Linked DNA regions of Rhinolophus ferrumequinum. Each later gene encodes a partner of the first gene's protein in a complex. Links are inferred from orthologs where the notes say so. Each region holds a gene or a part of one and is shown on either strand. Other genes may lie near its edges.

Region 1 (7,354 bases):
GACAAGCAGCATAAGCTGACGAGTGGGCCCTCATTAAATGCTTGATGAATGTATGAAATGAGAATTTTGTCAGTTTGGCTTCCTTGTTGGTTTACATTTTTGTCTTAATCAGCATGCAAAAAACACAGTCTGTGACCAAAGTATCATAGAACATAGACTAGAGTCTGGAATGTGGGGATAGAGTTAAAAGGTATGGACCAAAAAGAATTTTTCTTTTTAGAAAAACAAGGCTAAAGTAGTAGACGAAGGAAATGAAGATGGGATCAAGTAAAATAGTAAATTTAAATTTTAGAATTAAGTGAGGACAAAGCTACTTTCCATTCTAGAAGTCAACAGATTAGTTGAGATACTTAAACTGACTTTTATCAGAAGATCAGATTCCCTGTTCTTCTCTCACTTCATTTCTTACCAACCCTCCCCATTTTTCTTTTCCATTTTCTTTTTTTAAAAACACCTTTCTTATGCATTGGACTTGCCAGTGACATCTAAGGACCTTACAGTGCTAGGTGTCATAGCAGATAAACCCTAAATCTCAGTGGCTTAAAAATGGAAGTTATCCCTCAGTAAAGTCTAAAATGATTGAGGCCGGCTTTCACAGGTTTTCAGGTGCCCAGGTTCCTTTCATTTTATGGTCCCACCCTCCTGTAAAGCTTTGGAATGCTCTCCATTTAGCTGGCAGAAGAGGTCCATTCAGGGACCACATGAAGGTTCAAACAAGGAGGTTTTCGTGGACCCGGGCCACAAGTGGAGCACATCACTTTATTCATATCCCAGTAGTTAGCACTCAGTCACATGACCACACCTGATTGCAAGGGAGACTGGGCAATGGAGTCCAGCTCTGGTTCTGATAAAAAATGGTTTCGATGAATAACTAGCCTGCCTCTGCCACTAACTCCAAGTAATTCCAACAATAGGTCATCACGATCTAGAGTACTATGTGTAGCCCTCTCCTCACTTTCTCAGTTAATCCTTGCAATAATCTGACGAAGTTTGGTGTTAGTACTGTATGTCCAATTTAGTAAACTAAATGGCTCAGAATTTGCTCAGAATGACAAAGATTTGTACCCCATTTTGACTCTAAAAGCCCAAGGCATTATGCTGTATTTCTTCAAGTAAATCATAATGTTGAAGTGAGATTATAACCTGAATTGCGATTAAAGTCAAAATATCATGTTAACTGCCACATCATCAATACAGTCCATCCTTTGTGATGTTTTTCTAATTGGAATGATGGACTTAGGCCAATTTACCTGAACTCTTTCCTATTTTAATGTATAGCATTGATCTGAGTGATCGTTGCAGTCCCCAGTACAGAAACGCAGTGATGTGCACTGTCTCACTGCTTATGTCTCAGACTAACACAAATTTGCCTTTCCAGAGTGAACCTCTTTATACCTCACACTTCTAAGACATTTTAAATATAGTTTTATTTTATCTTCACAACCCTTTGAAAAGTAGAGACATCCAATATATCCATTTACAAATGAATAATAGCTGAGCTACTTTGTGCAAAGAATGGTATTAAGCATTGTATGTTATATGTTAATATATAGATATAATAAATATATGTATATTACTTCACTTAATCCTCAACACCACTTCATGTTTTATTACAAGTATTTTATTTATTTATTTTTTAAAAGATTTTTACTGGGGAAGGGAAACAGGACTTTACTGGGGAACAGTGTGTACTTCCAGGATTTTTTCCAAGTCAAGTTGCTGTCCTTTCAATCATAGTTGTGGAGAGCGTAGTTCAGCTCCAGGTCCAGTTGCCGTTGTTAGTTGCAGGGGGCGCAGCCCACCATCCCTTGCAGGAGTCGAGGAGTCAAACAGCACCCTCGTAGTTGAGAGCCCATTGGCCCATGTGGGAATCGAACCGGCAGCCTTTGGCGTTAGGAGCACGGAGCTCCAACCACCTGAACCACGGGGCCGTCCCCTATTACCAGTATTTTATTGATGTGAAAATCAAGAATAGTTAAGCGAAATCAATAGTTAAGAAAATCAAGAAGGTTAAGCGACTTGATTGAGGCACCAGAGATGAGTGGTGAATAAAACAGGTCAGGCTACTTAGTGAAAGTCTTATAATTTTCCCAGAGTTCAACTTCATAGGTTCTACTTATTCTTTGTTTTGCTTTTATCCTTGTCACATATTATTCCTATTCCTCAAAATACTTATCACTTCATGGGGCTTTCATGACATTCTCTATTTTTGTTTCCCGGCAACTTCATTCATTACACCATTAATCCATAAACATGTTGATTTGAGTATATAAAACCTAACAGCTCTTATAGTTTCACTAAACAATGCCTTGCTATTTAAAGCATGAAGCAAAAACCTAATTTAGTTGTTTCCTAAAGTAAATCCACTGCTTATGAAGAGAAATTCCTTAACGTCCTCTAAAATAAAAAGTATGTATTCTATCTATACATATATTTGAGATATTAAAGAAACATCAATTCCCATTTTAAGAAAGTTTTAATTTAATATCTTCTATCAAATTTCTGGTGCCTACCACAAAACCAGAGACTTAAAAAAAAAAGAGAGAGCATTAAAAATGTGAGTCATTTTAAATGAGTCACTCCCAAAAAGAAATTACTTGGGAGTCAAAGAAAGTTGACTTTACTATCTCAGAAATTAAACCCCAATCAACTTGTTCGTCAGTTCAGCTTACTATGAATCTGTGGTGATGTGGAAACTTGGGGGAAAATAAAAACCACTGAAATTTAACTGGTCACTGAAACATCCTTCCTGGTTTGTACTTTATTATCTAAATGCTAACTGGAACTTCAGGCAAAAATGTCGTTTGTAGAACAGTTTTGTGGCACAGACATTGTATCCATCAAACAGAACAAGGTGCTCAAAGATTGAGGACTCATTTTGCCTGCTACTGACAAATTCAAACCTCTGCAGAACTTGAGGCTGAAATCTTTTGTGAGGCTCCCTTGTGAATTGTGCCTAAAGCAGGTCCCTAGAAGGTGCTCAGTAAAGATATATTGGAAAAAATCAATGAGACCAAGATGGAATTTACACAAGAGTAGTGGAAGAGTTGAGTTTCTCACTGCTAACTATATACTCTCGATGACTTTTGCAACTGGTTTTGTAGGTCATCCAAGCACTAATCTTTTCATAAGCTGTATCACAATTAGAGGCAGAAGGGGCAGAGCCATTTTACACTGTGAATGTATCTCTCTTAACTTCCTGAAGTTGACTGGGTGGAGGCCCTACAGTTGAAGGTTGGCAGGTTTGTGCGGCACCGGCACCCGGTCCTTCCTTCCTTCTCTTCCCCTCTCTTCCTGGCTCCTGATACGTCCTCGCCCTACCAGCGGCCCACTCTCACTGACGGCTGGGTCATCCCAGGCCCTGGGAGCTACCACGTGCTTCAAACCAAACCTTACTTGGGGAGAAACAAAAGGATCTTTACGTTTTAAATCACTGCAGCATGAAGTCTTCAAGTGAAAGCTTTATTTGGGTATTAAAATCTAACCTCCGAGGAACGAGTCAGTGCCTAAGGCCTTCATGATCACCCCAAACCCTACATGTAAGGCGGTCTTTTACTCTTGGGAGTTACAGGCTTTCTGAACGCGGCGGCGTCTCCTTCAAAGCCTCACCTCCCTCTAGCTCAGCCCGCCCAACCCACCACACCCCCACTTCGCGCCCAACCATTGTCCCCTCGCAGCTGTCACTGCACGCCGATCCAGGGCTCCGGATTGGAAAACCTTCCCGTCACTCAGCTCATACTCTGGGGCCGGACGCCACACTCCCTATTCTGAGCCTTAAAAGGTCTAAGGCCACGTTCCCGGAGCCAGCAGCAGGTAAAGCCGCAGCGGCGGAAGGGAGAGGCCCTTCTCGCCCAAGTCGGGCCGGCCAGGCGGTGGAGGGGGGTGGGGGGGAGCGGCGGACCCGGGATAGCGCGCCTCACCGCCCCTCCCTTACTGTCTGACCGCGACCTGTCCTCTCCCCCCGCTCCTGCCCCCAGCCTCAAATCCCGATTATAAAGCGCAAACCGCGGAGCCACTCTCGTAATCCCGCCCCCGGACCGCCCAGTGGGCAGCTACGACCGCGTAGCACGGAGGGCGGGGAGGGCCAGGCCGCAGGGAGGGGGTGGGGAGGAATGTGAAAGGTCCCGGATGTTGCTGAACCGGAGCCCCTTCGGGAATGACTGGCGCAGGCGCAGAAAGACCTCACGGAAAGCTAAGGTGGGGGTGGGGAAAATTTTCATTCTCGCACGTTTAGAAGAGTGAGCTGGCGGAGGTGGCAGGGAGTCAGAGGGGAAGGCGAAGTAGGGGGGTAGTGGTGGGGAGGGGAAAAAAAGGTGATTCCTGCCCAGGCGCCCTCGAGGCTAAAGTAGAGAAGTTGGAAGCTAAGCAGACCGGGGAAGAGGGTTGGTAGCGGGAGAGAACGCGCGCTCCTCCGTTCGCCCTCTAGCGCGGGCGGGCAGGACGCGCGCGTTAGGGAGCGGCGGTTGCGCTGGGCCCCCCGAGCTGTGGGCACCAATCAACGGTTGCTATAGCAGCGTTTGACGTCATCGTGCGTCTGGTGCCCCTGCTGCCGGGGCTGGTGATTGGAGGAAACCCCGTGTCTGCGGAGCGGCTGTAGCCTGTGAGCAGCGAGATTCAGGGACAGAGTCTCAGCCTCGCCGCCGCCGCCCAGAGACTGCTGAGCCCCCGTCGGTCCGCCGCCACCCACTCCGGACACAGGTAAGGGATTCGGCCGCCGCCGCCTCGCCCCACTCCTTCCTGTCCCAGACCAGTCTTCCGAAAGCGCGGGGGATGTCCCCGCTCCACATCCTTTCAGCCCTTCTCGCCCCGCGGTAGCGGCGCTGGGCTGAGGCGGAGTCTCTTCAGGCAAAGACGGGCGGCGGCTTCTCTTCCGCTGGACTCGGGCTGCTCGCGGCTGCCGCGGGCTACTTGCTTCCGGATCGACGCCTCGGCTGGGATAAGCTCCCGTTGCCGATCTCCGTCCCCGGGGGTGGAAGGGGCGCCCACAAGCGAGATCCCTGGGGACCTGCCCGGTCGCCGGCTCTCTGGTGTGGTCGAGGCACCACTGGCCGCGATCCGTTCCCATCGTCACCCCTGTCCCAAAGCCCCTTCCCCCTCGCCGTCCCGCTCCTCGCTTCCGCACTAGATAATGACTCGGCGGCTGGGGGCATTGCAGTGGCGCAGGTGAGGCCGCCCCCTCCCCGCGGTCCTCCCCTCCCCCCCGCCCCTCGGCGCAGCCTCCGCGCCCCGCGCTGCGGCGGCGGCACCCAGCCCTCCCCCACCCGAGCGGGAGGGCTGGGCCTGGGGCTCGGGCCGCGCGATTCGAGGCCGGCCCGGAGGCTCCCGCCAGGTAGACTAGGGAGAGGCCACGCTTCGCGCGCGCGCGCGCGGGTGAGCCGGCTCCGGGTGGGGCTCGCCTGAGACGAATTTCCTGGGTTCCGCGGGGTGGAGAGCTTGAATTTTCCGGGGTGTGGTGGGGGATGGGGTTGGCCTTTTCTTGTGGGGAAAGAGGGCTCCGACCGAGCCCAGGTAGGGGTAGAGAAGAGGATGGGCAAGACAGTGGGCCGGTGTCTCGCTCGCCTAGCTAGGGGGCTAGAACCGGAGGGGCCCTGCGCTCGGTTTTGAGGCTCGTACCCTGCTCCGCGAGGCGGGGAAGCCAGAGCGTAACAGCCGGCGGTGGCTCGGCTCGCCTGGGTGTGGCTCTTGTCCCCCTCCCCCTCCTGCTGCAGCTGTCGGGCCGGTATAGACTAAATGAGTACCAGCGGTGTCCGGTGGCGGACTGGACGCCGGTGGGAGAGTGGGGTGTGTCCGCGAACCGGCTGGTCGTGGTTCTGCTTCTGTGGGCAGCGCTGTCGTCTCTGCCCCCGGGGCTGGCAGTCCCTCGGCTCCCCTCGGCTCGGGAGGGGGCGCGCTGCTCCTCCCTCCTGCTCTGGTGGGGGGAATTAATACTCGGCGGTAGGTTGGGCTCCTTGACACAGATCCGCCATGACAAAGAGGGAGAGTCGGGGACTTGTGCGGAGGCACTAGCTTGGGCGGAGCCAGGCGGGAGTTAACAGCGCGGACGGAAGGATTTGCGCTCTAAAGTCACGGTCGGCGGGGTTACGATTCGCCCAACCCGACGTCTTACGTCGGTTAAGGGTTAAATGGGTGCGGCGAGCCTTCTCTGCAATATAGAGGCGAGGCCTTGGAACACTAGTTATTTATTCTATGAAAAACCGACTCCACTTGTAGTACCCGAGGGTTTGGGGAGAGAAACCTTTGTACCGGTTTTAGATAATTTTTCGTTAGAAGCAGCTTTAACCTGAGAGCGTTTTTGAGTTCCTAGAGGAAAAATTAGTAATTTCGAGAACGGGCGGGTGGGGGTTTTAAAATTTGTAATTACAAATTTTTTCGAATTGAAATACTACACCTCACATCTAAGCTAGCTGATTACTAGCTTGAATACCGGGGCCCTGTTAGAATTGTGTGTGTGTGTGTGTGTGTGAGTGTGTGATTTTCCTGGGAAGGAAATAGATATGATATTGGGGAGTCAATTCCTATAGTGAGTAACAGTGGCTCTTCCCTTCACCGTTTAATTGGGCACTTCAGGCTGTCCATTTTCCTTTAAAATCGTTTCTTCTGTGGGATGATTGTATGTTTTAGTATCTTTCTTTGCTGTTTCAGCACCTTTCAAAAGGATATCTTTCAGGAACAGTATAACAGGAATAAATTGAAAAATCTAGGCAGCTTTAAAATGAGAGAAAGAATAAGGCCAAAAGTCATGGTAAGGGCAGCTCGAATGATAATATATTCAGTTAATTTTGACTACTAGAAACAGAATGAAGTACTTTTACATTTAAACTGGAATAATGACATCAGAAACACTGGTCACACTCGAATATACATTTTAGTGCTCACAGTAAGAGTTGAAGTTCCAGGACTCTACACTTGAAACCTATATAATTTTACTAACCAATGTCACCCCAGTAAAATTAATTAAAAAAAGGGGTGAAGTTGAAGGACTCACGGGCATATTTTTCAAACGTGTGCATATAACAAGGTACAGATAAATGAGGCCTTAGGGTCAGTTCAGTTAGATACTGATCTTTGGTGTTTTTATATTCAAAATATCTTAAAACAAGCAATTCGGTCATTTCTCCCAGAAAATTACCATTATGCTGTCAGCTGGCAAATGTTGCAGAGATCTATTCATTTGGGGTTGGGGGCTAATACCAACTAAAAAACTCCTAAAAAGAATAGATATTAAGGAAGTAAAAAAGACACAAATTGCACATTAAACTGACATGAATCATGATTTGGGAAGTATGAAAAGAATTGTAATGTTCTTCCTAAGTAGTGTTTTCACTAAAGAAAAGCTGTTTAATATTTTATTATT
Region 2 (7,473 bases), on another chromosome or scaffold:
AACAATAAACATGATAAAATGCTTGGGAGGTGCTAAGGATTAAATTTTCATTGGCTAAAGGATTAAATGAAAACTTAATCCTCACAATAGCTGTTTATAAGAAGTGCTGTTATTATCCCCATTATTATTGTTTCTTTATCATTAATAAAGAAACTGAGGTGCAGTGAAGTAAAGAAACTTGTCAGGGTTACAGTTGGTGAAGTACTAAGCCACTGGAATCCAGACACTGATTTCAGAACCTACACTCAGCACTTTTAACCACTAAGATACTGCACTACTCACATGCATGTAACAGCGTATAGCTAAGTGCAGTATATACCATTTTCCTCCATTTTTAAAGATAACACTGATGGTGTGTGATGGTTAAAATGAATAGCCCTCATTTTCATGACACTATTTAGCTCTGGGAAACTTAAAAACCTTTCAAGGGAAAGACCTAGGCCTCCAAGCTAATTATACCCAAAGTGAAATGTTCTATACTCTGCTGAGATTGCATAGGATAAAATCCACCTGCCAGTGCCGAAAAGGCTTTAAGCATGAGGTCCATTTAACAAAAGAACTCACATCAGAGCTAACTGTATTTCCTGAGGTCCTGAAGAATCCAAGTGACCTGCAATCAGATATGAAGTTATTCTTGTCCATGCATCCTGTCTTTCCTTCTGATTTTCTTTATTACCAGTAAGCCATATTAATATCAAAAGCTGACTTTTTGAACACCATGGTTTTTGATAGCTATTAATTTCTTGGTACAAGGTATAAATTAGTAGAATCTTAGGAATTTGCATGTATCACTTAAAGAAAAAATGCTGGGAAACTACTAACTTACAGAGATTTTTCTTTTTTCATGAATAGAAAAGTATGCTTACCACTCAGGAAATCTGAAATTAGAACAAATACTAAAATGGTTTACTAGTAAAAAAATTCCTTTAGGACTGAGACCCTATGAAAACACAAGAATTAGCTGACAAAGTATTTATGTAGGTTTCTTTGCCTCTGCTAAGATTACACTAGGGTATAAAATTCCTCCTCTTAACTACTACTTTCATTCCCATCAATCAGTGAATTTCAATTCATACCATCAATCAGTCAACACAGTATACCTTCCTGTTCTAATTTTTCAAATGCAAAGTGGCTCCTATTAATGTTATTATCTTTCTCTTCCCGTTGGCTTGATCATTCTCCTCAAAAATCTTATAGGTACCCACAGACTTCCAACTTCAAGGCTCTCTATTTACTTTTATTACCTTCCATCTATAGCCTACTACCCTGTCCTCTCCCTTAAAAGTTATTCTTTCCCTTGACCCTTACCATCCTTCTCCCTACCAGTTTCATCAAGGTGTACAGAAGTGGTAAGCTGTGTGGCAGACATCTCCCCACTGCTAAGATTCGAAAGATCAAGGCAACATTTTGGGGTTCCTCTGTTGAGACATAATAGTACATCAAGATTCCCATTAGGATGTAATATCCTTAAAAGGCAAAAATCATGTTATCCTCTTCATTTGAAACAACCCTCAATGACTCTCATATAATCTGAACAGTGTCCAGATAAATCTGCTTTTGGAAATATTTCAGACTACGCTGAGAAAAATCTCCCACCTTTTCTCTACTCCAACAATCTGTATCTCATTTTCTCCTCACCAACATATGGTATTGAGACAGTATAATTTTTTTTAAATGAAGACCAAAGTTTATTAACAGAGGTGGGTATTGACCCCACATCTTCTGTCCTGTGCACCATAAGAACACAGACTTGATTTCTCCCTGGAGTCTCTAGTACTTCTCATGTCTACAACCCTCCAATTTTGATTGCTAGCTGAGAGTCAGGGTATGGCATGATCGGAATTTAAAGTACAATAACAATACCACTAATATTAATACTAATAAAGGGACCAACGCATAATGCAATAGAGTTTTCAAAGACTTTTCCCAGACATCACATCATTTGATTCTCACAAGATCCTCGTGAGATAGGAAGAGATGATAATTTCTATGTCACAGAAAAGAAGCCTGAGAGTCAAAAGGGTCACACGGTTAGTCAAGGGCAGAGCTAAGACTTACTTAAACACTGATCTTTGAGCCAGAATTTTATTAAAAACTCATTAACTGTTTAGAAAAGCAAAGGAGCGAAGGTGAGAAAAGTAGATTTACCTAGACAAAATGCTTAGGTTTGCAAAATCACCAAAAAGTTTGTCCACTGGAGTTCTAGGAAGATCTGGACAGATGGTAAAGGAAGTGTTTTTCTCCAGGAGCAGGTTTAATATCTTCCTCTGATGGGACCTAAAACTGGGTCCTGACTCAGGACTTCCCTCTTCGCTTGTGGATGAAAGGAGATCGGCAGACATGGTCTCCGAGTACACACTGAGAAAAAAAATAAAAGCTAGCTAAGAGGAGGACATCATCTATATACATACATCACAGATCGTCCATAATATAATATAATATATAAGCAGCGGCCAAGCGGTCAGTATTTTTAGGAGGGTCATCCCCAAACGATGACAAAACTTGGCTTGAAGGTTAACTTGCCTGAAGCGGCTTGGCCTTTTCGTTGGAACCTTAATTTAACGAGAGGTAACCCCAGGACTTTAACCCCAGGAAATGAAAAAGGGGGCTTTGTCTTATTCGGGGCCACACAGCTCGTGACTCCTGACCGGAAGGAACTCAGGTCTCCTAACTCTAGACAATGCCAATTAGGTCCCCTAAACTTCCGTTTGTGGGGCCCCGACGGGGCTCTGGGGTGACAATGGGGTGATTCAGGCGCAGACAGCTCCGGGCTTACCTCAGGTTTGAGTCTGAGATTTACCTTCAGGAGGAAGGGAAGTGGATGTAGATGGGGTCAATCACAAGCGAAGACCAGAGCAGAATTAAAGGTAATCTGGGGAAAGGTGGCAATTAACCAGACTACAATTCTGCTTTTTCACTGGGTAGGTCGGAGTCAGACTTTGCCGCTTCTCTCCTCAGAGGGTCGAAGCCTCGGAGCAAGAAAATAAACAGCCACAGGCCTTGACCATTCAAACCTTCCGCCCTCCCAATAACCTATCCCGCTCGCCTCTAAACTGCGTCAGCCAATCTCCGCACGCCCGCCCAGAAACCCCTCGGCCAATCGTTTGGCTGGTATATCAACCGGAGGCGTGAACTTGAGCTGGAAGGAACACAATTTGCCCCGCCTCACAGCCAGAGCAGAATGCCGACTGGCCCACTGGCGTTCGGCAAGGGGTTTAGTAAGCCCCGCCCCACACGGAGCCTGGCGCACCATTGGCTCTGCCTCTGGCCAATCGCCACACCCATCTTGAGCTCTCCCTTTGCTCAGCCCCTTCGTCCCCGGGAGATTTAAATTGCACTTTGCTCCGCGGTCCACTCGTTAGGTTAATACCTGAAGACATTAGTTTCGATACAAGGGTGTTTTATGCGTTTCTTTTTCCTTGGTTCTTTCTTGTGTTGTTACATGGACCTTTCCCTCTTAGTTTGCTAGCCTTCCGCTGGAAGTGGAGCATTTGTCGCCGGTGTGGCAGATGTGGCGAAACAGGTGTGTGTGTATTTATGCTAAACGGCATTGGCCCCTTCCAAGAGGTTTCCCTGTTGGGTGTCCCTTTTAACGCACAGCATCTCTGAGATGCTAGGTTATGTGAGTAAAGGAAATTCCTTTTTACGGAAAGCAGGGGAGTTGAATCATCTGTTGGCACAATCCTCATCAAAGTCCAAAGGATCCCAAACTTTGGTTGTTTATGGAAATTTGAACATTGGCTAGGTGATAGTAAGAATTTATTCTTAATTTGGGGGATTTGCTTTTAAGTAATCCTGTGGTAGTGGTGGTGGGTATAGACCAAACAAGACTGGCCATAATAATTGGTTGATGGGTAACCGGGGGTCCATTATGTCAGTTCTCTTAAAGTTTAGGCTGCATACTAATCACCTGGGGGATTTTGTTAAAATACAGATTCTGATTCAGTAGGTCTGGGCTGGGGCCCAAGATTCTTTACATCAAACAAGCTCTCAGCTGATGCTGATGCAGCTGCTACAGGGACCATAGTTTGAGTAGCAAAATATTATGCTATTCTCTTTACTTCTCTGTATGTTTGAAATTTTCTATAATTAAAAAAAAAATGTTTAAAATAATCTTGGGAGCTCTTTAAAATACAGGCCTCCAAAATGAAGATTCAATAGGTCTAGAGTGTGGCTGAGGAATTATCAAGGTCCCCAGGTGCTACCCCTGCAGATGGCTTGCAGACCACACTTTGAGAAACATATCAGAAATGCAACCTTTACCTTTTAGAAACAGTAAGTCAGAAATACAACCTTTATCTGGTGTCAGGATCTTGGTGGTGGTAGTAGTGGCTGAGAGGTGCAGTGTAGCAAGCTGGATTTTGCCCTAACACAGATTCATCTGTAGAATCTGCTTCCCCAGGAAGGAGGTGTGTGAAGATTCTTTGTCCTCTAGGATAGAGATGGTAAGTGTGGGAGTCAGCACAGAGCCCTGCCATACCAGGTGAGTGAAAATCAGGCTGGGGATTAAGGGAGGGTGGGATGAGTTGGTTTCTGCTTTGATAATTATAATCACACTTCATGGAGCCACTATATACTTCTCTGCAGGTGGGAGGTAGAGACAGATGAAATTGTCCTACAGCGGAGGCAAAAGCAGATAGATTATGGCAAGCGCACACCTGGTTACCAGTGCTTTCTGCAGCAGGTCCCCAAGTGAGTGCCCATCTTAAGCACTCCCCCAAGTTGTGCATAGTCACAATAAGAGAGTCAATCAAGTGGCTTTGGTTCAATGTCAGGTGATGGAAAGATACTAGAATCTGAGTGCTCTCACAAAATTGCAGCATTACTAAAACGAATTATCCTGCAATCTAGCCCCCAAATTAAGTTTCCAAGATTTTTTCCAAATGGAACAAGTCATACTTGGCACATAAGACTTTTTTTAAAAGTCTATCTTTTAAAAAAAACTATCCATGTTTTTGGATAATGAAGTTTTTTTCTTTCCAATCATTTTTACCTCATGCCTCCAACTGACGTGGCTAATTGCAACATACTTGCCCAATTACATGTAAATTTGCATGCATACATACAAACTAAATGTATGAAAAGGTAGAAAGTATTTGAACAGGATATCAAATACTGTCTTTTATATCTATCTTGACTTCTGAGGAAATTGGAATATATAATTTACCATTTCCAGAAGAAAGAATATTAGGGAATTAGGAAGGTGATGTTTAATCTGATTGAAGGTTTATTTTTTTCTGTTGGATCAAGAGAATTGATCATACCTTATTCTCAGAGACTCCCTAACGAGTCTCCTGTTTTACTGTGATAAGCAGTGAGCCGTGCCCCCTCACCTTGACCTCATTCTGACACATTTGTCATTGCCAGGACACAGCGACAGCCAGGACTTCACCCTCAAACACCAAACAAAAATAGGAGGTACAGTCGCCGCTCCTGGGATGCCCAGATCAGGCAGTGGAGAAGAGCCCTACATTCCTGGGATCCCCCCAGCCAACCTCTGCAGGGCACGGGGGCTAAAGGGTGTGTGCATTATTCTTGGTTCCTTTCTTGAGTGGTGGACTGAGTCCTACATCTCCCCCACTTTGCAAAGATTTAGCTTTCATTGGCTGTAAAGGAGAGTCTGAATGAAGTGCATGTTTCTCTGACTCTGCTGCCTTCCCAGGCAGGGAATGAAGAGTCTCTTAGAGCCAGTGGATTCCTCCCTTTTGAATAACCTCCTGGATGACTGGTTCCAACCCCTGGAATCTTCACAATATGGATGGAGACCAGAGGGAGCCCAGGTAGTATCCTCTGCTGAAATCCACTGGAGCAGGGTCAGAGATGGGGTCTGGTCCAGGAGGTCACAATTAAGATGGGCTTCAAGGTAGTAGTCCAAAAACAAAACAAAGAAAATGGGGCAGCAGGAAAAAATAGCATGACATGAATTTAAAAACTTGAGAAAAGTGACATAAGGAGATTTAATTATAGTTAGTAATGGGGAGTTGGGCTGCACTGGGGGCTATTTTATACTTGATGAAAGGTGTATAATTTTCCTTTGAAGTGAGGCCTGAAACTTAACTTGCGGGGCTTGTTATTTTTTAACTGCCTCAATTTCTGTCAATGTTTTGCAAATGAGCCAATGCTAACTTCTTATACTCAATCATTTTAGTAAGCATGGTTAATAATAAAAAGGGGGATCACCTAGTGGCGAAGACCAAGGGCTTTAGAGCTTCAGACTCTTTTTTTTTTTTTTTTTAAATACTACCTTTGTCCACCACATGGGCAGTCACTTATCATCTGTCAAATAAGGAGATTTTGACTCATTTGATGATTGTAAGCAAAAATGAGAATACATATTTAAAGTGTCTGGCACATAATAAGTGTTTTACAATAGCAATTATTGGAAACCATGTCTCCTGTAACTTCATGGCCCCTACCCCTGCTCCTTCTTTTCCCAAGGGCAAATGTGCAGGGCAAGGAAATGTGAAGTACATCTTCCCTTCACCCCCCCATTTTCTTAAGTACCTCACTTTCCCTCTTCTTTTCCAGTTTGCAGACTTGGTGGCTCCTGCCTTCTCCCTTCCCTGGCTCTGTGAAGAAGATCCCCACCACTGGTTCTACTTTCTGGCTGATCACAGTTACTTATCTGTCCCAGACTTGAGTGAGGCACAGAATATTTAAGGAAAACAGATGTCTTTCCGGGGCCTTGTTGCTAAGTGTAATAGTGAGGATTTACTTGCATTACTGTTACTTTCCAATTGATTAAAAGAGAAATCTAAAATCCTGCCCTACAAAAGAGATCACAACAGGGAGGCATTGTTTAAAACCTCTCCTTTTTCCATCTTTTTGTCTGTCTCTCTAAATCTTCTTTGATAGCTGAGACTCAAATTTACATAAGGACCAGAAACCATCTAGCTGTTCCCCAACCTCTTCACCTACTACGGACTACATTCAGTCTCTTCAGAAAGGACTTAAACTTTGGCTGAGGTGGGAGGTGGTGGCAATGGTGGAGAGGTAATAAAAAGGTGGTTTCCTCTTCCTGAAGAGGAAATATAGCAACATCAACATCTTTTCCCCATCTGCCTGTTTTCCTCCCTCCTTCCCTCTCTTAAGGAAAGTGGTCCAGCTGTAACCACCGTACTCCCCCCACCCCCCACGCGAGCTACTGAACCGCCTATGATGTCATAATCACAATCCCATTACCTCATCCTATTGGGGGGGTGGTGCGTAGAGGGAGGAGAAGGAGTGAACAGCCCTGGGCCCTCCTCAGCTTTACTAAGTGTTTGGGGTAAGGGCTAATTACAGAACCAAATGGAAATGGCCCCGCAACTGTTACAAGTCCTGGATTTATGAGGTTCGAGCCGATCCGGCCACTGGAAGAGGGGCTCCTGGGACACAGAGCAGGCCCTAATCGGCGCTTGGACTACACTTCCCAGAATCCTTCACGTCACGGACGGGTCCTCTGCTGGGGGAAGGGGGATTCCTTCAGTGAGG
Region 3 (7,987 bases), on another chromosome or scaffold:
ACATCCCCTTACTTCAGGCCAGATTTCTTAGTCATACCTGACAAAGGGTGTATCTCTTCATCACTGCCAGGTAAAGAGCACAGAGGCCTGAGCCTGGGGAATTCTACCCAATAGTGTGATTCTGTAGGTGTCCCATGGCTGACAGGAATGGGAAAGGTGACCTTAGTCAGCCTAGGTGCAATCTGTCTTTGTTTCCAAGGGCCAGTCACCTCAGCTGATGCATGTCCACCCTTAGGCTGAAGGAACCAGAATGCCCACAGCATCCTCTCATTGAAAACAACACTAGATGAGCAAAGAGAACCGGCTCCATTATTTGATTCATCATCCTATCACTTTAGCCTTTCTGTATCTCAAGTGTTTCAATCTAATACCTGTCATACTTAATTCACACTTGCTTTAAGGCAAAAGAGATGGTTTTGAAAGTACTTTAAATTGTCACGTACAATAAAAACATTCAGGGTTATGGGACATAGATCAACAGGGAACATAGACTGGGAGGCCGGGGGCTCAGTTCTCCCCTGGGCAAGTGGTGGACAGTAGGAGGTATGGGCCTTACAGCCACCCATCCTTCGCCTGTTATGTGACCTCAGGTACCCACTGAGCTTCTCGGGGACATAATATCCTTGTCTGTAAAACTTGCCTGTCCACGAGATGATCTCTTCTAGAGCCAAATCCAACATGAATTAGAGACCCTTACAGAATGATAACCAAGCAAGACTAATGCCCACTGCATGATTCACTGGAAGTGCTCAAAAGAGGGACTGGTGTCCCGATATGCCCCGAGTTTGGGTGGGCCCCAGGAAAGCATCAAGAGAGACACTCAGACACCTCTCCCTCCAACCAAGTCTGTTTTGTGGATAACAGCAGACCTGCTGTTCATGCTACCTGCTCTCTGCCTCCTATCCAACTCCCTCCTCTGCATACACAGCACAAATCCCCATCTCCTCATTACCACAGTCATGTTTTTCTCTTCTCCTTCCTATTCTAAACCAACAACTTCAAAACCACAGATTTTCAGTGTTAAGGTCTGGCTCTGAAATTAGTTCTCCGTTCAGCTCTCCCTCAGATACACACTGCTTTCATGAGTAAAAGGAGTAATGGCCATGTGTGGAAAGGACGTTGGGGAATGAGTGGGAACTCTGGTAGTAGGAAGGAGGCAGAGGTGTAAGGGGCATTGGTGAAATGAAATAGAATGGAATGGCCCTGTGTCCTCTGGATTCTGTAAAGATTTACCTGCTTCCCAAATTGTAAGTCACAGGTCTCCTAGGGTTGTACCTGGTGTGGTATGTTGCAGCTTCCCTGCAATCCCTGTAACCATGGTTTGGGGCAGAATACATCACAGCCCTGAGCATAAAGAGAACAAACTTTTTCTGATTTTCCCCTAAAACTCCATTGCTTAAAAAACTATGTAAGGTAATATGCCAAGGTGATTCATATGCAAACTCTGACCCTAGGACAATTATGAAGTTATTTGTTCTCAATAAATAGGTGATTCCTCTACAGCTCTCCATGAGCAGCAGATACCTCTCTTTCTGTGTAAATCAAAGAACCCTGAAAACATATACACCCAGAGCCATACCTGCTCTTAGTGGAAACATGCGACAAATCTGAAAATATAAAAATCCATTTCCTCATTTAACGCCATCCCTCCAAGAACAGCTAAAACAAGGTTGCTTCTCTCTGCTTCTCTGAGTGCCAAGGTTGAGTGCATTTGACAAGGCCTCTTTCCAAGTCCCTAATATTTTGACAATGTAATCAATTAATTCAATCTCAGACTTCGAAATGGTATGTCATTGCACAGAATCTTGAAAATTAAAACAGGGAAACAATATAACTTTAAGTAGGTTTCAAAGCACTGATTTCCAATTACAAGCAGAACCATGTTTGATGGTTACAACACTCATTCTGGATGGATGGGCAATGCATTGGGCAAAACAAGCTCAGCTAATGTTTCTTGGACCCTGGAGGGGACATCCTAGAGGAGAACACATTTTTCTTCCTGTATGTCAGAAGATGAGCTAACCACCATGCAACAGAACAGAAACGAGCTAGCTTCCTCCAGGAGGGGAAAATAAAGCAGCTCCTCACTCAGCTACGCAGGACAAAGCCAGGACGTGCAAGAAGCCTTCAGTCTAGGGCTCCACGTGCTTCTCCAAGGACAGAGGAACCCACCCACACACAATCACACACAGCCAGCCCACTACACGCCTGCGGAAGGCGCCAGGTTCTCCGCCAGCCCTCAAGCATTGGAGGATCTGTGCTCTCCCAGCTCGCAAGCTCCGGGTAGCACTCGCTGTCTGGAGGGGGCAGAGAGCCCAGACTCTCTTTCCAAGTCTCCTCTTCCCTGCTCCAGTGCCTACCTCTCCCCAACTATCAAGTAGAGTGTGCTTCTCCAAGGTAACTGTGACTTACCTACACACACACCCCAAATAGCAGGAAGTCCCTGCGCCCCACGACCAGTGCCAAGGCCTTCTGTGTCCCCTCCACCCCGACCCCACAGCCAGGCTCCTGGCTGGGAGGCGCCCGACTCACCCAATCCTCGAAGTGGCGGCTCCCGTGCTGCAGCAGCTCCTCAAACTGGATGGTGCAGTTGGCCACGAAGTCGTCGTAGCCGATGGGGGCATCGTGGAAGACCGCCAGCTCGATCTTGCGCCCGTTGCACACATCGGTGACAAACTCGTCGTGCCAGGCCGGGCTGTTGGTCTTTTGCTTAGTGGCCGTTTGGCCGATGCGCGAATCGTCCACGTTGAGGGCGATGTAGGGGTCAAGAAGGAAAGTCTGTGGCCGGGGTCCCACTGCATGGCGCAGGGACCAGGCTGTGGGCTTCAAGCTCACGGCCTCGCAGATTTTGATCTTAAGAAGGCCATTGAACACTACCATGGTCGGGGCGGGGCGTGGGGGCCGGGGTCACTCCGTCCGCCCGGTGGGCAGGATGAAGAACCGACGCCCCGGCGCTCCGAGCTGCGAGGACCCCTGGGTCCCCTCTCGCCCCACCCCACACTCTCCCTACACCTTGTAGCGTTGCGCCCTGGAGCGGGCGATTCTCAGCGAGTGCATGTATTTCCTCGCCGGGTTCCTAACGGAAAACAGGGAGGGGGGGAGAGCTGGGGAATGTCCGTGTTAGGAGCAAGTCTCTCCCCCCCTACCACCAGCAGCACCTTCAGGAGAGGAGAGGAGCTGTCGGCTCCGCTGCCAGCGGCGGGGACTGTCTCGCCGCCTCACTGGCTCTCCGGGTCCCGGCTGCGGGGAGGCGGGCGCCGCGCCCGGCGCTTACCTACCTTTCCGAAACATAATCCCCGGGAAATTTCGACTCCGGGAGGGCGAGGGGGCGGTGGGACGGGGCGGGGACGAGAACGGGGGCGCAGATTTCAACCCGGATCCTCTTCTCACACCCAGCGCCTGCCTCTGACCGCGCGGGGCGGGGGATGGAGCGAAGGATGTTCAGTCTATCCGGAGGGATGCATGTCGAGAGGAAATGGTCCTCCTCGGAGCCAAATTTTTAAAAATCCACAAGCCCCACCGCCAGGCTGGCCGCCGCCTCTTGGGCGAAGCAGCGCCGCGCCGCAGTCGGCGATCCTGAGGCGCCAGGAGCCCGGAATCTCACATCCGCGCGGGCTCGAAATCGGGGTGGCCGCCGCTCCGGCTCCGGGCGCAGGCCGGCACCCGGCGGTGCGCAGCGCGGCGGCGGGGCCGGGACTGCGACTCGGCGCGGCCCCACCTCCTGGGCGCCGGCGCCCGCCCGCCCGCCGCTCTCCTCGCGTCCCGGCTTTTGGCTGCCGCTCGCTCGCCGCCTGCCCGCCCGCTTTTCCCCCTCGGTCCCTTCTCCCTCCGTCGGTGTGCGAGCGAGTCTCCCTCCCTCTAATGCAGGAAATGCGCAAAAGACGTCAGAATGTGTGTGTGTGTGTGTGTGTGTGTGTATGTGTGTGTGCGTGTGCGTGTGTGTGTGTGTGTGTGTGTGTGTGCACGCGCGCGCGCGCTCCTGTGTTTGGGGAAATAGAAAGTTTTGCCGGTTGGGGGAGCAATACGGGAAAAGTGAGCCGAGTAGAGGACGACCGAGAGCCAGCGAGCCTGCCCTGGTGGCGGCGGCGGGCGGGGGAGCAGGGCAGGGACCCCGCGTGGGATCCCGGGGAGTGGCGGCACTGGGCCCCGGGTGCGGGTGCCTGCGGTCTTTGCTCTACACCCGAGACGAGCGGGCCGCCCATCTCTCCCGGGCTCTGTGGCCAACACTGTCTTTTATAACCGCGAGGGGGAGACGGGCGGGGGTCGCACTGCTAGAGAAGACTCGGGACCCTTCCCCAACCCCACTCTCACTCCGGCTGTAGCAGGCCAGGGCAGCCGGCCGAGTACTGGCCTGTCTGTCGGTCAATCTGGCTTGATACGCTGGGCTCCACGGTGGTGGGGGAGGGGGACAGGGAGGGCGTGCAAGGCTCGGTGTGAGTTTTTACACGTTTATTCTCTCTTCCCTTTCTTTGGGGCATTCTTCCCTTTGGGATCTGTCCCGGACTTCTCAGGCTGCGAGAACTTGTTGACAAGTGAAAGCTTAGTAGAACCCCGTCTTGGTTTGTTTATTTTTTACAAAGTAACTTCATATTTACTCTGGACCTTGTCTGTACTCTTTTGGGGGACATGACTCTGATCAGTGCGCTGACAGCGGCTGTCTTAGCTGCGGGAAAACGGGGCGCGCTCTCCATTGCGGGGGTGTGGGGGGAGTGCCTGTGTCAGTGCTAATTTCCTCCGTAACCTTTAAACTCTCTCTGGAAGCCGCCGCGGCGGCTGGTCACGTGAGGCGAGCCCTAGGCTGCTGGGGAAGAATTTCCTTCGCCAGGAGCCGGGGACCGGGAAGGCGGCAGCGCGAGGGACTGCCCCGCGCCGTGGGACGCGAACCTGGGAGGGCGGGGCGGAGAGCGCGGAGGCCCACGGCGCGGCCTGGGTTGGAAAACCCGGAGGACTGCCCCGGGAAGAGGTCATCTCCGCAACCTGTGAGCCCCACGCGGTGAGGGGGTTGGGGGTTGGGGGGGGAACAAATGGAAAAAGAAAACCTGGGTTCTCACCCGAGTGCCAAGTCAAGTCAGAGAGTCTGTAGGAATCCGTAAGCTGAGTGTTTATCTGGCGGGACCGGTTAGTGTAGACGAAAATGTAAAACCCACCACTCGATCCCTTTTTCTCAGCGGAAAAAGTTCATCACTGCCTGTGGTTTAAAGGCTTAAAGGCGAGGAAGAAAGCAGTCCCCTGTAGGATACCGAGTGCAGCACACAGGTCGCAAAAATCACCAGAGAAGTTCCAAGGTGATTGTGGCAGGTCGTCTGTCTCCTAAGGTAGTCGCTGCTCTCCGGAGCTTCCAAGTAATTTCTGGCAGCCTACTCTCACCTTGTTGAATGGGGCAGGTGGGCAAAGAGAGTGCTAAAATGTAGGTGGTTCACATAAAATGAGATGGTTCACAGAAAAAGTCAGGATATAAAAGTTATGTCCTCACTAGACCACTCCCACCAGCTGGGGCTTATATTTGAGAATCTGCCAGTTTGACAAAGCACAAGTGGGATATCTCACTGCTGTTTAATTTTTATTTATTTGATCATCAGAACTTTTTCCTCCTTGCTTTTTACTTCCACCATTCTGTCCTTAAACTTCCTCCTCCCTTCACCGGGCAAGTGATGGAACGCAATGGCGAATAGGTCTTGATCTTCTGAAAATGCATTTGGAAAGTGAGCCAGCACTATACTGAGATGAGTGAGAGATACCTGACAAAGAGACAAAATTTAAAGGGTACCAATAAACTCGGTAATCAAGACAAATAATATTTGAATGCAGTATTTTGAAAAAAAACAAAATGTAAAAATCCAGCATGAACATACCCAAATTTTAAATAATTTTAAATATTGCATTAAAATATTATTTATGTTACTAAGTTTTTCGACACCCCTGAAATTTTGTACCCAAAATAAGTCGTTCATTTGACTCTCCCTAACCCTGGCCCTGTTGGGAAGTCTGGAAAAGCAAGTATTTCTGAAGTTAGGGATCTTTGCAGTAATCTGTAACATAAATCTGAGACTTACCATGCAGAAGGATTGAAAAATATTGGCCAAAATCCTTCCTCTTTAGTTTGTTAAACAGGAAATAAGTTTACATCTATGGACACGCTGAGCTTATTTTTTGCATATCATATCCCCCCTTCCCAGGCAAGACTCCCTCCCCGCCCAAGTATATTAAATAGAACCTGTTGCCATCGCCATGAGTGGGCATTCTTAAAACCCATAACCTACAAACTTCCAATGCCATTTTCTTGCAACCCGAGTAAGGTCTCAGGCAGGCTGTTAGTTACACATGTGCGAAATCAGACTGCAATTCTCAGGTGCAACCAAAACCAGTGTGACTTCTCTTTCAATAACAAGTCTTTCTGTCTGGGGCGGAGGGGAGGTAGGGGAACTGAAAACCGGCCCAACTGCCTATTTTGTATTGGATGAAAATTTAAATAAAAAGAGAGAATGCTGGTACTCTACATGCAAACATTGCTGATTTCCTGCCCTTATTACATCCTGATTTCTAAATAGATCTGTTGCCTCCCTACTCTCAAACTTGGCTGAATGAAAATATGTATGTATTCTCCAGGAGTACCATGGAACTACCAGATGTGAGCTTGTTTAGGGGAGAACCTGTATATTTCCCCGGGAGGGGACTGGTCTAAAATAACTCTGCTCCAGATTTCTTGTGAAAAGAAAAAGAAGCCTTTGCAGGGAAGAAGGTTTAAAATGTAAAATTCAAATCAATAATTATTGTCTATTTTATCCTTCTTTTGGCCCCTGCATATAGTCCCTAAAGACAGGACTGCCATTGATGTAGACATTGAGTAAAATGCCCTTTCGGTCCCAACTATGGCTTAATCATTTGTAATCTTTGGGAGAGGGAAGAGGAAAGGAAGAAAAATGATATAAGAATTTTACAAAGATGATCAAGATGGTGCTTTTCTCCTTTTAAAATTAAGGCTTATGGGGGAAAAGGACTGAAAGAGTAACAGTCCCTAGGGCAGTGTGATAAGCGCTGCTGTAGACGTAGGGGTGCACCTCTAGGAGAGTAGAGAGGAAGGATCAGCCCTTTGCCTGGGGTTGCCTGGGAAAGCACCACCCAGAAGGTCTAGGCTTTCCAAGAGGAGTTCCTCCAAAGGTAAAGAGGAGAGGGAAAGGCATTGGAGGCAATGGGAGCAGTGTGCAGAGCACAGGTAGATAAGAGCATGACTGTTTGGGATGAGTAAGTGACCAGGTGTACCTGGTGTGTGGCAGGCAGTGAAAAGAAGTGACGTAGGTCGGACTGGGTAATTAAGGCCTCACAGAACCTGAAAATGGGTTTGAACTCTTTTCTTGAGAGACACTGATCATTCTAAAGTGGGGGAGCAGCATAACTTGAATTAATGCTTTAAAAAGACAAATTTGTGGGGATGGATATATTTCTGTTCTGCAATTTTCTCCCAGAAGACTCACCCCAAAACAGGATGTTAGCTAGAAGACCCAAGTCTGAAGGTGATTTACACTCCATCTGATCAAAAATGGAAGTCTGTGGATATTGTTTAGATGGGCTACAAGAAGTAGGGAGGGGGCGTCAGAACATTAGACGAGCATGTGAATATTCATGTCCTGTTCCTGTGCTGATTGTTGCCATTTGTAGAACGTTCGTGGCTTCTGCAAAGGTCTGCCTGGTCAGGACCCGTCAGACATTCCGCACGTGCTCGGTGGAACAGAATTCAATCACCTGGGCCATGGATGGAATGCACAGCTCCACAAGGGCACGAAGACCTTTCAGAGTTTTGTCAGCGTAGCCCTGCCCCAGCCTAGCCCCACCTGAACCCCAGCCCCACTTCTAACCCCACCCCAGGTCCCCAGGCCCACCCTCTTGTTGGCTCACATATGCCCGCCTTGTCTTATTTTGGCCCCATCTCTTCTCTGAACTGTTGCAATGACCCAGAGACCAAGCTTCCCTTACACCTGCAAGGAGGTGG

The links. The genes of interacting proteins can lie anywhere in the genome.
Region 2: the proteins of YWHAZ (region 1) and CDC25C are in contact, whole or in part, in a crystal structure (PDB 5M36), measured with the Homo sapiens proteins. The link is inferred for Rhinolophus ferrumequinum from reciprocal best matches to the Homo sapiens genes YWHAZ and CDC25C. Residues at the interface, in NP_001129171.1 of Homo sapiens: Lys11, Glu14, Gln15, Glu39, Val46, Lys49, Asn50, Arg56, Arg60, Val61, Ser64, Lys120, Arg127, Tyr128, Glu131, Gly169, Leu172, Asn173, Val176, Glu180, Asp213, Leu216, Ile217, Leu220, Asn224, Trp228; in NP_001274511.1 of Homo sapiens: Gly210, Tyr212, Arg213, Ser214, Pro215, Ser216, Met217, Pro218, Glu219, Asn220, Leu221, Asn222, Arg223, Arg225.
Region 3: the proteins of YWHAZ (region 1) and PRKCE are in contact, whole or in part, in a crystal structure (PDB 2WH0), measured with the Homo sapiens proteins. The link is inferred for Rhinolophus ferrumequinum from reciprocal best matches to the Homo sapiens genes YWHAZ and PRKCE. Residues at the interface, in NP_001129171.1 of Homo sapiens: Asn42, Ser45, Val46, Lys49, Arg56, Lys120, Arg127, Tyr128, Gly169, Leu172, Asn173, Val176, Glu180, Leu216, Leu220, Asp223, Asn224, Leu227, Trp228; in NP_005391.1 of Homo sapiens: Lys365, Ala366, Leu367, Ser368, Phe369, Asp370, Asn371, Arg372.

What each region holds. Positions count from the first base shown.
Region 1 is NC_046297.1:42,633,626-42,640,979, reverse strand, and holds the start of YWHAZ (14-3-3 protein zeta/delta), read left to right. Parts: upstream 1-4,346; 5' UTR 4,347-4,698; intron 4,699-5,024; exon of another isoform or gene 5,025-5,163; intron 5,164-7,354.
Region 2 is NC_046307.1:13,418,529-13,426,001, forward strand, and holds the start of CDC25C (M-phase inducer phosphatase 3), read right to left. Parts: upstream 3,015-7,473; 5' UTR 2,801-3,014; exon of another isoform or gene 2,777-2,800; intron 2,375-2,776; exon of another isoform or gene 2,359-2,374; 5' UTR 2,343-2,358; coding exon 2,149-2,342; intron 1,419-2,148; coding exon 1,309-1,418; intron 611-1,308; coding exon 565-610; intron 1-564. Other genes in the region: oocyte-specific histone RNA stem-loop-binding protein 2-like, read left to right, coding at 4,443-4,483, 4,588-4,692, 5,368-5,520, 5,663-5,783, 6,529-6,660. UniProt on the Homo sapiens protein: Functions as a dosage-dependent inducer in mitotic control. Tyrosine protein phosphatase required for progression of the cell cycle. When phosphorylated, highly effective in activating G2 cells into prophase.
Region 3 is NC_046296.1:39,789,427-39,797,413, forward strand, and holds the start of PRKCE (protein kinase C epsilon type), read right to left. Parts: upstream 3,015-7,987; 5' UTR 2,881-3,014; coding exon 2,533-2,880; intron 1-2,532.